4 linked regions of the Oryzias latipes genome follow. The protein of the gene in region 1 purifies or fractionates together with the protein of each later gene. This does not show direct contact. Links are inferred from orthologs where the notes say so. Each region holds a gene or a part of one and is shown in the gene's direction. Other genes may lie near its edges.

Region 1 (2,965 bases):
AGATAAAAACTACACAGATGCAGAACGGTCTCCTGTTTTTGTTCAGTTCGTTGACTGTGTCTGGCAATTGACTCGCCAGGTAAGTCACAATTAGTTCATATTTAGAACAAGAAAAAGACTAATATTGTATAGTCATTTAACAGTTTGTTTGTTTTTTGGTTTGTTTTGTTGAAGTTTCCTTCAGCTTTTGAGTTTAACGAATACTTCCTGATAACCATCCTGGAACACTTGTTCTCCTGCCTTTTTGGGACATTCCTGTGCAACTGTGAGCAGCAAAGGTTGAAGGAAGTAAGGCTTTTTTGCATCTTTCAGCTTTTTATGGTTTTTAGAATTAGTATTCTGAGATTTTGGTTGGTCAGGTCTTAAAAGAATTAACCATAAATGTTGCATAAAATTGTTTAAAAACACATCTTCCCCTCTACTCTGCAGGAAGTTCCCAAAAAAACAGTCTCACTGTGGTCCTACATCAACAGCCAACTGGAGGAATTTACCAATCCTTTTTATGTGAACTACTCCAACCATGTACTGTTTCCTGTTGTCAGCTTACACCATCTGGAGCTTTGGGTCAGTTATTACATCCGCTGGAACCCCCGCATGAGACCCCAGGTATGTAGTCAAATTTAACCTGACTTTTTATTTATTAAGAATCCATCTGTGGCGCAGAGCACTTCCATGTTTCCCTTCTCTTTAAGGAACCGCTTCACCAGCGTTACAAGGAGCTGCTGGCGAAGCGTGCCGAACTCCAGAAAAGAGTCGACGAGTTGAAACGCGAGGCAGCAAACCGCTCCGCTTCTTCCTCCTCCGAGCGCCCGAGCTCTCCAACACGCTCTGTCACTCCAGTGCAAACCTTTGTTTGATGCACCTTGATCACGTGATCGTCACAGAGTCTGAGTTTACTCCGTGTTGGAAGGGCCAAACAAGAGTAATCATCAAGGCTACACTGGGAGCCATTAAAGGCCTGTGAGCCAAACTGCCTCTTTAAGTGACAACCAGAACTGAAACATGACACAAAAAGTCCAAATGAGCAGAGATTTATGTTGGCATTTCCAATGTGTGTCAGAGCACACTGGACAAAGGCCACACTACACTACATCCAAAGCAAAAGGATATTTAACCAGAATATATAAGGGCTGTGTAGCATAAAAGAGCTAATTCACTATCAGTGGTTTTTAAATATATATAATCCAGATTTAATGCGACATAGAATCACTCATTCCACTCTCTTATTTGTCTGAAAAACATCAGCTAAAATACTACTAGTAAACATAATTATGCAAATCTGAGAAACACTTGTGCTTTTTCCAAGCAAATTATTCTTTTTGTCATATATTAATGTTTACCATAAATGTCTCTGTCTTTTTTCCTCTATTAAAAATAGCAATAGATGAGGCCATGTCTTCACAACTTTATCCTATATTGTGACCTGCCTCTACATAATGGGTTCTGTGTGACATTCCTTTCATTTTAAATGATTTCCCTTTTCTAACTTTTTTTTTTTAAATAGCTAACCTTATTTATTACTGTTTTCTGTGTTTCTATCTCTAAACCATTCTGATTTTCATCTCATCAGAATTGTAGAAGTCTTCATGCAAGCCTAAAAAGCTATTAGGAATATGCAATGTGCGCCAAGTTATTCACTTGACATGTTTATATGCAGAACAGCTACTATTGCAATGTTTATCAATTCCAATAATTGTGTGCCTTTGCTGAATGACTGGAGGCAACAGAAACGTCAAGTTTGGTTGACTCTTAAATAAGAGCACTGTTAGCCTTTAGCTTCTCCACTTTATTAAAATGTTGTTTAATATTTAAGCCAATAGAAGTGATTGTTTGGTTTGTTTATGATTGAACACTATTCCTTCCTTCTGGGATTGAACTGTTACTGTTTTTATGTTGTTGTTTTTTGTTGTTTTGTTTTTTTTCAAACCAACCCAGATCACTGATTGTCTAAGTATGTTAATAATTTTGCTGTAATAGAGTGCCTTTTCGGAAAAACAATAACAAAGATGAAGTTTAAAATATGCTGTTTGTAGCACTGCCTCAATACACTACTAATTTTCTCAATAAAGCTGGTCATATTTATACACTTTGACTTTTAATTGGTATGTGGCCAGTAATGGTCTGTTTCTTCCTCTGCTTTTGTAATAAATGTATACTTTGCAAATGGGTGTCATTGAATCTCCCTTTAAGCTGTTTGGTATTGTAATCACCAATTGCCACATCTGGGGGGTATTCCAGGAAGCACGATTAAACTACCCTGACTTTAACCCTGAACTCTTGCTAATATCCGCCTGAACTTGCTTACTCTGGGTATGTCGTTTCCAAAAGACCGGATATGAGTTGGCGTAATTACGCTCGACTTGGTAACCCTGGGTTAATGCACGTGCACGGCAAGCACATAAAGGCATTATCAATGGATCACCGACATGTCGAGTCACCATGGAAACGCGTGAAGAAAAAAAATAGAGCGCTATACTTCAGTGAGACGGAGTCTGAGATTTTAATGATGGCGTATGAAGATTATACGCCCATCAAAAAGTAACACTGCTGCATCAGCAAAGGAAAGAGTTTCTGCTTGGAGAAAAATAACGAACAGAGTAAACGCACAAGTTTCTGATCTTATTTCCAATTACATTGTGATGTATTTACAACTTATAAAACTTAAATGAATTGATTCAGTTGGTAACAAGTAATTGAGTTAAATTTATTCAACCTAATTTCTTATGTCTATCCAACTCGATAATTGTTTATACAACTCAAATTTACATATTTAACTAAATGTCATATTAGTCCAATTAAATTAAATGTGTTGCCATCTTAATTAATTGTACTTCTTGAAATCTCGTATGTCTAAGTTAGAGGCTGCAGAGTTCCTCATTTTTGTAAAGTTAAAATAAATGATGCTGTACAGATTTGTAACATATACCATTCACTTAATTGTCATGATTCTTTCTGTAACTTCAGT
Region 2 (3,834 bases), on another chromosome or scaffold:
ATCAGCACCGACAACAGTCAGGACGATCTTTGGGGGAAGCTGATATGCACCAACTTCAAGGTTTCTTTCATTCCCCAAGACCCTCCACAAAAACAGGTATTTGATGGGATTTTATTATTATATTTAAATGTTTTAACTTACAAAAACATTGATGTTACAACCTTATCTCGTTATCACCATACAGAGAAGTGATTATGTCAAAATGAAGCATTGCAGCTTTAGTGCATGGCTTATATTTTGTATCATCAAACACGCACAGAACTTTGATTTTGCACAAAATGCACCTAGCGAAGAGGAAGGAATGCTTTTTGATCATCGATGTTGCACAAGAAATGAGAAAACAGAAACCATTTTCACCGCTGCAGCAGATGGTTGGCTTGATAACAAACTGGAAGTAGATCATTGCTCAGTCTGAGGAACTTGGCATACTATATAGCCAACAGCATGACATATTATAGGAACAACACAGTTGATTAGATGTCAACCTCTTTTGATTGCCTCCTTTACAGAGAACCCAGCTTTTCCACCTCCTCCTTGGAGAACATGATATCCCTCTGACATGTCTGGACCAAGTAGTGACGGGTAAACTTAATTCGCTCATACTCTATGATTATACACAGTTTCTTTATAAGGAATTGCATTCCTTGTCATGTCTATGATACTTTAACAGAACAGCAGATGCAGCACAAAGCAGTCATTTTTCACGAGTGAGCTTGATAACATGTATGTTAAGTTATCTAAGGAAATGGTCTGTTGTCATGACGCCTGGTAATGTTTTTGCACATCATTGGCGACAGTTGTTTTCAGAAGCATTCAAGTTGTGTGTTTTGTGGTGGGGAAGCATAAGAGTTTGGTTTACTCAGTATTAGTCATGAATATTCATTAATATCAGTATAGTTTATGTTTCTTTGCACTCTTTTTTTAATGTAGATAAATGATGGTATAATTTTAGTGATGTTTTCTTAACTACATCATTGTGATCGAATGTGTAGCACTTACTCAGTTCATATTTGTTTTCATTTACTGGTATTTAGGTGGCACTTGTTCTTGCATTGCTCAGTAAGAGGATTTGTAAATATTTTAGTGGATTCAAGACATTTGATATCAAATTGTATTTTTGCAGCGGAAAATAGTAGTTGCTGATGCTCTCTTGACTCTTGTTTGGTTTGGCGACCCAATGTTAGGTTAGTCTTGAGCTGATGGACACATGGCTTTACATTGGAGTCAAATACCTTAGTTTACAGAAGAGTTTATGGGTTATTCAATAACTTCACGATTCCCAGGTGTTAATGCTGAAAAAGAGAAAACGAGTCCAAAGTATCGCTTTATCTACCTTGATGCTTTACAAATAAGAGTCTTGATGCACCTTTGCTAATCTAAAAAACAGGTAATCTCACATATTTAGCTAATGTCGTTCTTTTTTTGTCTCTTGTCTTTTCAGTTAATGATTTAAAGGGAAAAAAGAAGATATTGAGTTCTAACCAGAAACTAAAGTTCAATCCCACTGAGCTCATTCTGTACTGCAAAGACCTGCGCATTATACGGTTCTGCTTTGATGAAGCGGGACCAGAAAGTGCAAGAAAGGTAAATTAATAAGTATTTTAATGTAAAATTTCTCTACTGTTCAATCATTAGATATAGGTTTAGAAGAGGCTTTTTCTAGACTTTCTTATATTGAGAATATTGGAAAGGTTATCAGTTAACTCTCAGATTTATCGGTTGAGAAAGTTGATTTATGGATTAACAAATTATTGAATAAAATGTGATAATATTCCTTACTGTTAAAGAACATCAAGGCAGAAATAATTAAGGTTTCAAAATTTTCAAAAGACTGAAATCCCCCAAAAATATTTACCAAAACTACTTCCATATTATTCAGCATTTGACTAAGACTGGCTTAAGATGTGTTTACATAAATTTAGTTGTACATTTTAAATTTCAAATGCAATCTAAAGCTTAAAGTGTTTAAATGTGTATTGTTTTTATTTTGGGAATTTACAAGCTGCTTTTTAAAAATACTTCATTAATGGAGATGTGAAGTCATGCTGTACCTGTTGTATGTGTTAACACACAGTGGAAAATGTTCAAACTCCATAGGATCTCAGAACAAATCTGCCCTTCTTGTTCTATGACTTTATTTTGGAAATGTTGAGAACCTGACACTGAGCGCACTTGTTTTTTTTTTTTTTTTTGTTTGTTCTCTTGCTCAACATGTGAAATTCTCCTACCTGTGAGAGCATCATGTTGTGTAGGAAATTCCAGGGTCAGAGCCTCACCCCTCTCACACACAGTGTCCTCTGGTGGTGTTCAGTGTTTCTCCTGAATAGGCAGCTTTGTTAGGCTCCAGTGATGATCCTATTGGATCATAAGGAAAGGGAACATTCACGCATCGCTGTTACTGTGACCCCGCCCACTTTTTCATGTCAGTCCTCATGAACAGGCGATTTAAAATCCACACCGTAGGAAAAAAATAACTACGTTTATCACAATGAAATGAAAACCTAATAAGTGCTGTTTGCAAACTGTTGCTGGTGAGATGACAGGTGGGGCAAAATGAGCGTGTCTGTGGATGGACTGTGAGCGTCTGCGTTAGTGGGAAATGCAAGAAGCTGTAGTACATGTTTATGACTGCACAGCTGGTTATTTTGGTCATGTTTACGGCGTCACAGCGGCTGACATTTCTAAAGTTAGAAGTTCAGTTTGTTGAATAAAAAACCAAGCAAGGCCAGATTAAACCCAGACTTCTCTTCTGTTCTGCCAAATGTTAAAATGAAATTTGGGCAAGTTTAAAAGGAATACTACAGCTGATCATCATTCCATTTATTGGGGTAGAAAAAAATTAATAATGACACTGTCCAATTGCAGAACATTTATATTACTATAATTAGCAAACTAATGAAAAAGTAAAAATAATTAATTTTACATGCAATAAAAGCACCACCACAGAATTAACCTATATTAAGGAACTCGGGGACTGTCTCACAATGTAACAAAAGATGAATAAATCAAAATAGGCTTATTTATTTTCATGTTAATGAAAGTGAAGTTCTTAGAAATATTGATGGCAATTTGTTCTGGTGTATCCAATCCAATTGCTGTAGGTATTACATACAACAAATGCACAGTATTTACAGTTTCAAACATAGTTGCAACTTTGGCCAATTTTCCTTGTGCAATATTGTTATGAAGGCACTTTTTTGAGTTATGCCAAAATAGGTTTAAAAAGCTATTGGACCTGCTGTTTGTGGATTCAATAACATTTCAGATATATTTGGAAGTGTTTTTGTATTTCTTTGTATTAGATTTCACATTATAGTGGATGATGACGCAGTTGTTAAGGAGAGAATTTAAGATAGGCATTTGATGTCATAAACATTGCTGACCCCCTGCTATAGATGGTCAATTACTATTGTGAAAGGAGAAACTCAACATAAGATTTTGGCAAATGCTGGGCAACAATATTAAAGCTATGTAGATCTAGATGCTATAAGTCAATGAAATGGCTATTAGGACTGTAATAATTGTCAACATGGCAACATGGAGATTAAAAACTACAAAATTAACTGTACACCATAAAACATGTCTAATTAAATGTGAAATATTCTATCGTTATTTGTCAAAGTCTTGCTGCCTTTCTTTTCTGTAGGTTTGCCTTGCTATCGCCCACTATTCTCATCCAGCTGATATTCAACTATTGTTTGGTTTTGAGTATCAGGGACGGCGATACCATGAATCTAAAGGTAGTGTAAGTTGATCCTCGTGCTTTTTTAAAAATTTTAGTTCTTTGACTTCCTCTACAAATGTTTTTAACTTGAACCATTGTATCTTTGTTTC
Region 3 (3,834 bases), on another chromosome or scaffold:
AAGACCCGCTCTGATGAAAATGGTGATTTTGGTGTTTTTAACATGTTTCTGTAGCATTTTTCTCATGATGGTAAGGCATATTTGAAGAAAATGAAGATCAAAACTCCATTTCTGAGTTTTCTTTATTCAAATCGGGAGCAGATGAAAACATTCAGTTTAAAAAGGTTGTAGCAGTGATGTTGGTGCTTCAGTCAGCTGGCGAAAAGAAAACTCCTTGCTCCGCTTCATTCTGACGCATGAATCTACATCTTTGTTTACCTCGTCTGAGCTGGATTTTGGATCTAAACTGTACGGCTGGATAGGTTTGGTGTTGCACCCATTTTTACTGCACCGCTAATGTTAGCTTTGGTCTGTGAGAGGCTGTAAGCTAATGGGACAGAGTGTAAAAAAAAAAAAAAGCATGATGGGAAATGGGGGTTGGCTTGCTTCCGTTCCAACAGTTTAGTCCAAATCTCAAGGGGGAATTTCTGCTAAACTCCTGCATCTCTGCAGAAACTATGTCATTGAAAGCGACACAGGTTTTTGGATTTTTTTTTTTTTTTTTTTGCAAATATCTTTTTATTGTTTTTAAACACATGAACAAAGTTAGAAGCATTGAAACAGCATATATTTAACAAAAATCCAAAGAAAATGAAAAATTAGTACAAGAAGGTACGTAGAGTTGTCAGGTTGAAATTATCCTCCTATCTAGGATACTGATCACAGAGTTAACAATTTGTCATGACCTTTTCTTGTTTTGTACATAAACCATTTTTCCCAGTCCTTCAGAAATTTGTTTTCCTTCATTCTTAGTTTGTATGCAAGTCTCTCCATTGTTTGTATTTCTTCCACAATATACATCCATTGCTTGTGTGTTGGGGCTTCAGCCTTCTGCCAGTTCTTAGTTATGGCTTTCTTTGCTGCCACAAGAAGAACTTTTACTAGATTTTGGTCCGTTTTATGTACTGTTCCCTCTAAGTAACCCAGATACATCACAAGACAGGTTCGGGGTATCTTATAACTGAGTATTTCACATATAGCAGAGTGAATGGTGTGGTTTTTGGATTTTTACTAAAAACTGCATCATTTTCTTTACCCTTTGAAAATTGATCAGAAGATGATTGGAGTGGGACTTGAATGTTTGTTGCTTATTTTAGGGGTTTTCAATGTGTTATTCTTTGATTGACAGGTGGGTGGACTTATGGGTGAGCTCAACAAAACCCACTTTACATTTCCAGAATGCTGAAGAGTTCAGGCCATTTGCCCTCCCCATGTTTGTTGAAAAGCCTGTGGGTGACGTCAGAGATGATCCGTCTAATGGTCATACAGTATGTTTAAGATTTATTAAGCAGGAATCCCATCTTGCGGTTAAAACAGTCACCAATTAGTAGCATAGTCAAAAACATTTCACTTTGCATAAAGGGAGCACAGATTTAATCAGATAAAAACTGAGATCTCTGAGGCAGAACACAGAATAAAATTTAGTTTTCTCACGTATACAGAGATTTCTTCAAATTCTCTCAAGGAGGATTTGATGTATTCAATCTCTTGATCATTTAACGGAGAATCATTAAATAGATATTTATTATAGAAACGGTTGTCACAGCAGCCGTGTTGCCGACTGTTCTTATTTTGCGACTTTTACATGTTTTTGTTGTAGTTTAATTAAACAAGTTTCTGCTTTAGAAAGTCTTTTTTTATGCTTTTAGATGTTTAATTCTGATTTGAATCTAAATCAAACTGCTGGTGATGTTGTGGTCCGTCTTTCCTGGTAACCAGGAAGTCCACAGATGTTGCTGCTGTCTCGTCTTTGTCTTCTAAAAACGCTGTAACAGGCTGGCGTGTTTTTGTCCAGTTCCCAGTCAGGCCGACTCCACCAGCCTGGAGCAGGAGAAGTACCTGCAGGCCATCATCGGCAGCATGCCGTCCTACAGCGAGAGCAGCGGCAGAAACACGCTGAGCGGCTTCTCTTCCGCTCACATGAGCACCTCAGGTGAGGACGCCCAGTTACGCACTGGAAACACCGCTGCCAGAGAAACCTCTCATCTCTGCGTCTTCTGTTTCCAGACTCTGCAGATAAACTGAGGCAGCCTAAAATCGGGATGCTCATGAAGCAGGTGATGGGCGTGAAGGAGGAGGTTCCCGGGACGTTCAGCAGAGGAGGTGAGGTCCAAACTGGTGTGTTTTGGGCAGTTCTGGCTTCTGTTCATGTGAGTTTTGGAGCTGGCCTGGGACAGAGGAGGAAGCGGATTTGGGAGTCATGTAGGGAGAAGGTCCTCTTTTGTTGGTTAACTGGCATTTCTGTCATTTGACCTCAGCTCAGGGTAAAAGCGTCAAAGTGTCCTCTCAACCCAAGGGGCCTAACAAGGCCAGGAACTCCCCCAGAGGTACAGTAGGCCACGCCCCTCAGCCCTTCCTTCACTCGTCTTTAACCAATCAGGTCTCTAACGGTAGATGGGTCTTTTTGTGTGCTAACACTGCAACGTTGCTGCTTGTGTTGTTGTGTACACGCTGCAGCTCCGGCTGAGCTGCGTGACGTCCTGCTGGTTGTTTCTCCTTCAGAACTTTAGACTGTCAGTGTGGCGTAGCCGTTTCTCTAGGACGACGGGAGGCTGGCAGACTGGATCATTCCAGCTCCAGCACTAGTCGTCCCTGCGTCCTGCAGCCTCAAACCCCTTATGATCCACTTCTGCTACACTCTGCTGTCTGTGTTCACATGATTTTACAGGAAAGGCTCCATCTGATCTCACTATGAAGGCATGATTCCACCCAAATAAACAAATAAAGAATCAAACCACAGCATAACGAATCTAAATATTTGTTGCTTTTGTTTGATGTTTCCTTTCAGTTTGTGCCAGTACAAATGAACAAATACTGAAACACAACAGCAAATCACAGAACAAATCAAATTTCCATTAAGCAGCCGGCCGGCAAGTGCAAAACGCGACAGTAGAAAGTGGAGAAAAAATGAACGCTATCGAACGAAAGCTGCTAACGGAATGGGGATTCCCTTTAACACCGAAGGTGTTGTACATTTTCATTGCATTAATACAATTTTAAAAAATTATTTTGGACTGTTTCATGTATTTATAACATAAAGAAAACAGTAATAAATCACTTTAAAAAATCGTATATGATTGGTTTAATATGACGTCCCTTTCTAGCTGTGTCTATATGACCGTGTTTCTGGATTTGGTCATTTGTAATGTGATTTGCTTTTGTGTTTCAGGACTCTGTAATTTGTTCTGTGATTTGCTGTTGTGTTTCAGTATTTGTTCATTTGTACTGGGATTTGTTGTTGTATCTTAAATGTGCGCATGTCTTGCACCCTCGCCCACCGTAATCAGGACAAGAAAAACTGCTTCGTACATCAACTTCAGATTTTAGTAACAAACTTAAAACAAAATATTGTTTTAACCAAAAAGGTCACCCAAACCACACACCCCAAAAGAAAATCAAGTTCAAATTTTAAAATAAACCAAAAAAATGTTTGTAAAAGAACAAATGTGCAAAGAAAATCTGTCTTTATTAAATGTTATATACGGTTATATGTTGTATGAGTACAGCAACATGTAAATGAAAAATATCCATCCACCTTTAGGGTCCTGGGGCTGCTGGAGCCTATCACAGCTGCTGTTGGGTGAGGGCGGGGTTCAGCCTAAACAGGTCACCAGTATGTAGCAGTGATACACAACCACGCACACAGTCCACCTATGCAGCATGTTTCTGGACTGTGGGAGGAGGCCAGAGAAAATGCACAGTTGCATGAGGAGAACATGCAAAAACTCCACATCGGAAAACCCCAGCCAGCAGTCCAACCAGAGTTGTGTGACAGCAATAACAATAAAAATATTG
Region 4 (3,834 bases), on another chromosome or scaffold:
TAGTTTCATTAGAAAGTTGCCTCTGATTTGTGGATGGGACTTTTGCCAGGGAGCAATCCTCTTCCCCTCCCAGTTGCTGAGAGCTCTCTGTTTACACACTCCAACACTACCTTGCAGCCCCTCACAACCCCAACCTAACATTACCGATGCAACAAAAATGGCGAGCAAAATTAGAGCTATCCAGCTGTACGGCTTTGAGCCAGATGCCAGCTCAGACGAGGAAAACCAAAACGTACATGGATCCATTTGTCTGCCAGTGGATGCATCAGAATGGAGCGGAGCAGGGAGCTTGTGGCCCGGCAGCACGAGTTCCTACGAAGCAAATACCACCTTTTTTTATACAGCATTGTTGTGTCTGCTACTGATTCACAACGATTTGAATAAAGAAATACTCAGAAATGCAGTTTTGAGGTGAATTTTGTTTCTGTATGTCCTCCATCATCAGAAAAATATACCAAGAAAACAACCAAAACACAGTTGTGATCAGACTGGGTCTCTAAAGCCATTTCTTTTTTCCTGTTACTTCAGTCCTTTTAGTTTGATGCATCTACATGTAATATTGGGAATATTTGAAAGAATCTTGTGCACCCATTGAAGTATTTACTTTCTGAAAGATTAGAGTGTGATTTCTGGAAAATGTGAAGCCATTGGCTGCTGGTTTGGCACAGTTTTCACTTTTAGATGATAGAAAAGAAAATAGGAAACACAAAAAGGTTTTTTGTTTAAAAATTAAGTGTTTGTCTGTCAGTATCCAAAAGTTCTAAACATAAGGTGAACAGCAGCCTTCAGTTCAATAAATCTCAACCACTTCTGCAAAAAAAAAACAGATTATAAGTTATGCATGAGCGCCAAAATGTAAAAATGATCTCTTCAGAGAGTTGGAAATTATATTTCTTGGATGATTTTAGTTTAAAAAGGTTATATGATTGCTGTCCGGTTAGGGTACTTTTAAAGATCCATGTTTCTGATGATGTTCACATGAGTTTTTTTTTTTTCCAACAAGGCCATGGTGCGCACTGAATTGACAGTGGGATGATGAATTTATTTCCTTAATCGGATTCTCTGACGCAAATGTTTCCACTCACCCCTGAGCTTTCTGTGCCTTGTTGTCAATCAAGAAAGCCTGGCTTTGAGCGCGTACGTGCTTGCAGTCAGGTACACTGCTGCTTGTGTGTTCTGTGCTGAGGTGCTCTTTCCTTTCAGCCCAAGATTTTGCGTCCAGCTCTGCTGCCTGGTGAGGAATTTGTGTCGGAGGCGCTGCGGGTGATGCTGGACCCAGACGGCAGGGAGGAAGCCACTGGGGGCCTCCTCGGGGGCCCCCATATTCTACCAGCAGAGGGGGCCCTTTTTCTTACCACATATCGCATAATCTTCAAAGGCATTCCTCACGACCCACTAGGTATTTATTGATCATGAAGTAAATTTGTCTCAGTGACCTTGTCGTAGAGTGTCCACCCTGAGTGGGGATGATCGTGGTTCGAGTCTACAGTCGAGTCATGCCAAATTTATTCAAAAATGGGGCCCAGTGCCTCTCTGCTTGACATGGAGCATTCAGTGATTGGATGGAGGAGTTAAAGCACAGTATTGTTCACAAGTGCAGCTTTGATTGCAGCTCACTGCTCCCCCAAGGAATGGGTCAAACCCAAAGAACACATTTTCCTACGCTCTGATGTGTGACAATAGTTGGACTTTACCTTTTAAATTAGTCAATTTTTTATTTTTAAATTATTAAATGCTCTAACATTGTGCCTCTTTTGTTCAATTTAGCCTACCGTCAAATTGTAACCCTTGTGCTATCCTAGGCACTTTAACATTGGGAGTTGGGTCATCTAGACCCACTAGACAGTGCTCTGAACCTTTTTTCTTCAATGATTTGTGAACCTCACTGGTGTCCATGGATTACATGAAATCTTTCCACCTTTATCCACCTTTGTCATGGTAGGGAGAACATGTCAATGGTCATCTTGACCTCATAGGATGGCACAAGGGTTAAAAATGTAATTCAGATTAAACTGATTAACGGTTTTGTTTGCTCAGACATGTTGATCTTTGTCCTTGTACATCTGCAGTGGGAGAGCAGACGGTTATCAGGGCCTTTCCTGTGTCCACTCTGACCAAAGAGAAGAAGATCAGCATTCAGAACCAGCTGCAGCAGCACATGCAGGAAGGCCTGCAGCTCCGGTCTGCATCTTTCCAGGTTCACATTCTTTCAATTTAATCTAAGGGATTCTATCAATTAATTTTCTTAATTGTATTTACTTGATTTCCTTTAGTTGAAAATGCACAAAATAATCTTTTAGGTCATTTGATGGCTCTATTTGGTCAAAGTGTGCTATTCAAGCAACACTAACCCTGAAAGCTCTTGTGGCTAAACCCCATTTCTTTAACTCACCTGTTGGGCTGTTGTTTTTTTTTTGATGTTACAAGAAGTCTATGTTACACGGACACAGAGAACAGCACAGCTCTTTGCTACTGCTAGAACAGACTCACTGTTGTAAGTTAGCAACAAACTACGTCTCCCTGTATCAGTTCTATGCAGTTTTAGAGTCTCAAATAACAAACAATCAAGCAAAGTTGAACACAAAAAGTCGTACGACGATCGCACACACAAGGTGCCCTGTCCCTATGCTGTTTGTCATACAACTGTTACAACCAGCGCCATAAAATACAGTCGAAGGCAACGGAAAACGCAGTTGGTAACTGACACTCAGGCAGGCTGCTCACATTAAATCCCAGCTGCGACAAATGAGCAAGGTTTATATAACAGACCCACTTTCAAGGTTGATGAGGCAGAGTTGAAGGCCAGTGAAACCAGGCTGCAACAGCACGCCAATGGGAGGTGGAAGAGTGCATATAACACCAGATGTGGAACTGTGCAGTGGACTCTGCATTCTTTAAAGAAGGCATTTAATACACAGAAGAGAGTCAATCTATGTAGTAAAGCATGCATGTACAGCTCTAAGAGTTTTTACTGTAAATTCCTGGATTTTACCCCCCATGTTTGGGGGTTCTTTAGTCCATCCCATGTCTTCCTTAGGCAAACATATTGTTGAGTTGCAATACCTGACCTGGGTTTTACAATTATTGTTATGATGGCTTTCTTGCAGCTAATAAAGGTAGCTTTTGATGAGGAAGTTAGCTCAGAGATGGTGGAGATCTTCAGGAAACACCTCCAAAGAATCCGCTATCCTCAGTCCATCTTCAGCTCCTTTGCCTTTGCAGCAGGACAAACAACCCCTCAACTGATCCTTCCAAAGCAGAAGGAGCGTAACACTGGCCTCAAGTAAGCCCAACCCCTTTTTGGAAATTGCATCAGAGCTTCCTGTTTACTGTAAATGAACCAGAAGTTTTATTTTGAAACCACTCTGACTCCTTTTTGCATGTCACCTCTGCTTTGTGTTTATCACAGAACACTGTCTAAGAGCATAGTCAAAGGAGCCAAACGGGCTGGAAAGATCACCATGGGCCTTGGTAGTCAGAATTCACTGAAAAAGGCTGACCGAAGCAGCCGGATGATCTATCATGAAGACGATGACATTTCAAGTGAGAGAAATGAACGAGCAGCGAAAGAGTCAATGTGGAGACACAAAAACAGTGGATTTTTGTCTGTTGCAGTATCGGACGAAGAGCCTCCACCCAGCAGCACCTTACGGGCGTCAGAGAAGTCCACTATGGAGCAGCTGGTGGAACAGTCTTGTTTCCGTGACTACCAGCGTCTGGGCCTGGGCACCATCACTGCCAGCTCATCTCGCTCCAAGTCAGGCGAGCAGTTCAGGATCACAGCTGTAAACAGGCTGTACTCCCTCTGCCGCAGGTGAACCGACTTTCACAGAA

What was found.
Region 2: the proteins of mtmr2 (region 1) and mtmr10 purify together in Homo sapiens (affinity purification with mass spectrometry; 5 studies listed by BioGRID and IntAct, with this or other methods). This does not show direct contact. The link is inferred for Oryzias latipes from reciprocal best matches to the Homo sapiens genes MTMR2 and MTMR10.
Region 3: the proteins of mtmr2 (region 1) and sbf1 purify together in Homo sapiens (affinity purification with mass spectrometry; 6 studies listed by BioGRID and IntAct, with this or other methods). This does not show direct contact. The link is inferred for Oryzias latipes from reciprocal best matches to the Homo sapiens genes MTMR2 and SBF1.
Region 4: the proteins of mtmr2 (region 1) and sbf2 purify together in Homo sapiens (affinity purification with mass spectrometry; 3 studies listed by BioGRID and IntAct, with this or other methods). This does not show direct contact. The link is inferred for Oryzias latipes from reciprocal best matches to the Homo sapiens genes MTMR2 and SBF2.

What each region holds. Positions count from the first base shown.
Region 1 is NC_019872.2:15,990,711-15,993,675, reverse strand, and holds the end of mtmr2 (myotubularin-related protein 2), read left to right. Parts: coding exon 1-79; intron 80-174; coding exon 175-288; intron 289-429; coding exon 430-606; intron 607-692; coding exon 693-857; 3' UTR 858-2,164; downstream 2,165-2,965. UniProt on the Homo sapiens protein: Lipid phosphatase that specifically dephosphorylates the D-3 position of phosphatidylinositol 3-phosphate and phosphatidylinositol 3,5-bisphosphate, generating phosphatidylinositol and phosphatidylinositol 5-phosphate.
Region 2 is NC_019861.2:21,153,582-21,157,415, reverse strand, and holds part of mtmr10 (myotubularin-related protein 10), read left to right. Parts: coding exon 1-96; intron 97-509; coding exon 510-582; intron 583-1,441; coding exon 1,442-1,584; intron 1,585-3,646; coding exon 3,647-3,740; intron 3,741-3,834.
Region 3 is NC_019881.2:9,364,694-9,368,527, forward strand, and holds part of sbf1 (myotubularin-related protein 5), read left to right. Parts: intron 1-1,834; coding exon 1,835-1,972; intron 1,973-2,046; coding exon 2,047-2,142; intron 2,143-2,297; coding exon 2,298-2,366; intron 2,367-3,834. UniProt on the Homo sapiens protein: Acts as an adapter for the phosphatase MTMR2 to regulate MTMR2 catalytic activity and subcellular location. Promotes the exchange of GDP to GTP, converting inactive GDP-bound Rab proteins into their active GTP-bound form.
Region 4 is NC_019861.2:19,894,884-19,898,717, reverse strand, and holds part of sbf2 (myotubularin-related protein 13), read left to right. Parts: intron 1-1,203; coding exon 1,204-1,399; intron 1,400-2,069; coding exon 2,070-2,197; intron 2,198-3,107; coding exon 3,108-3,283; intron 3,284-3,409; coding exon 3,410-3,543; intron 3,544-3,615; coding exon 3,616-3,814; intron 3,815-3,834. UniProt on the Homo sapiens protein: Guanine nucleotide exchange factor (GEF) which activates RAB21 and possibly RAB28. Promotes the exchange of GDP to GTP, converting inactive GDP-bound Rab proteins into their active GTP-bound form.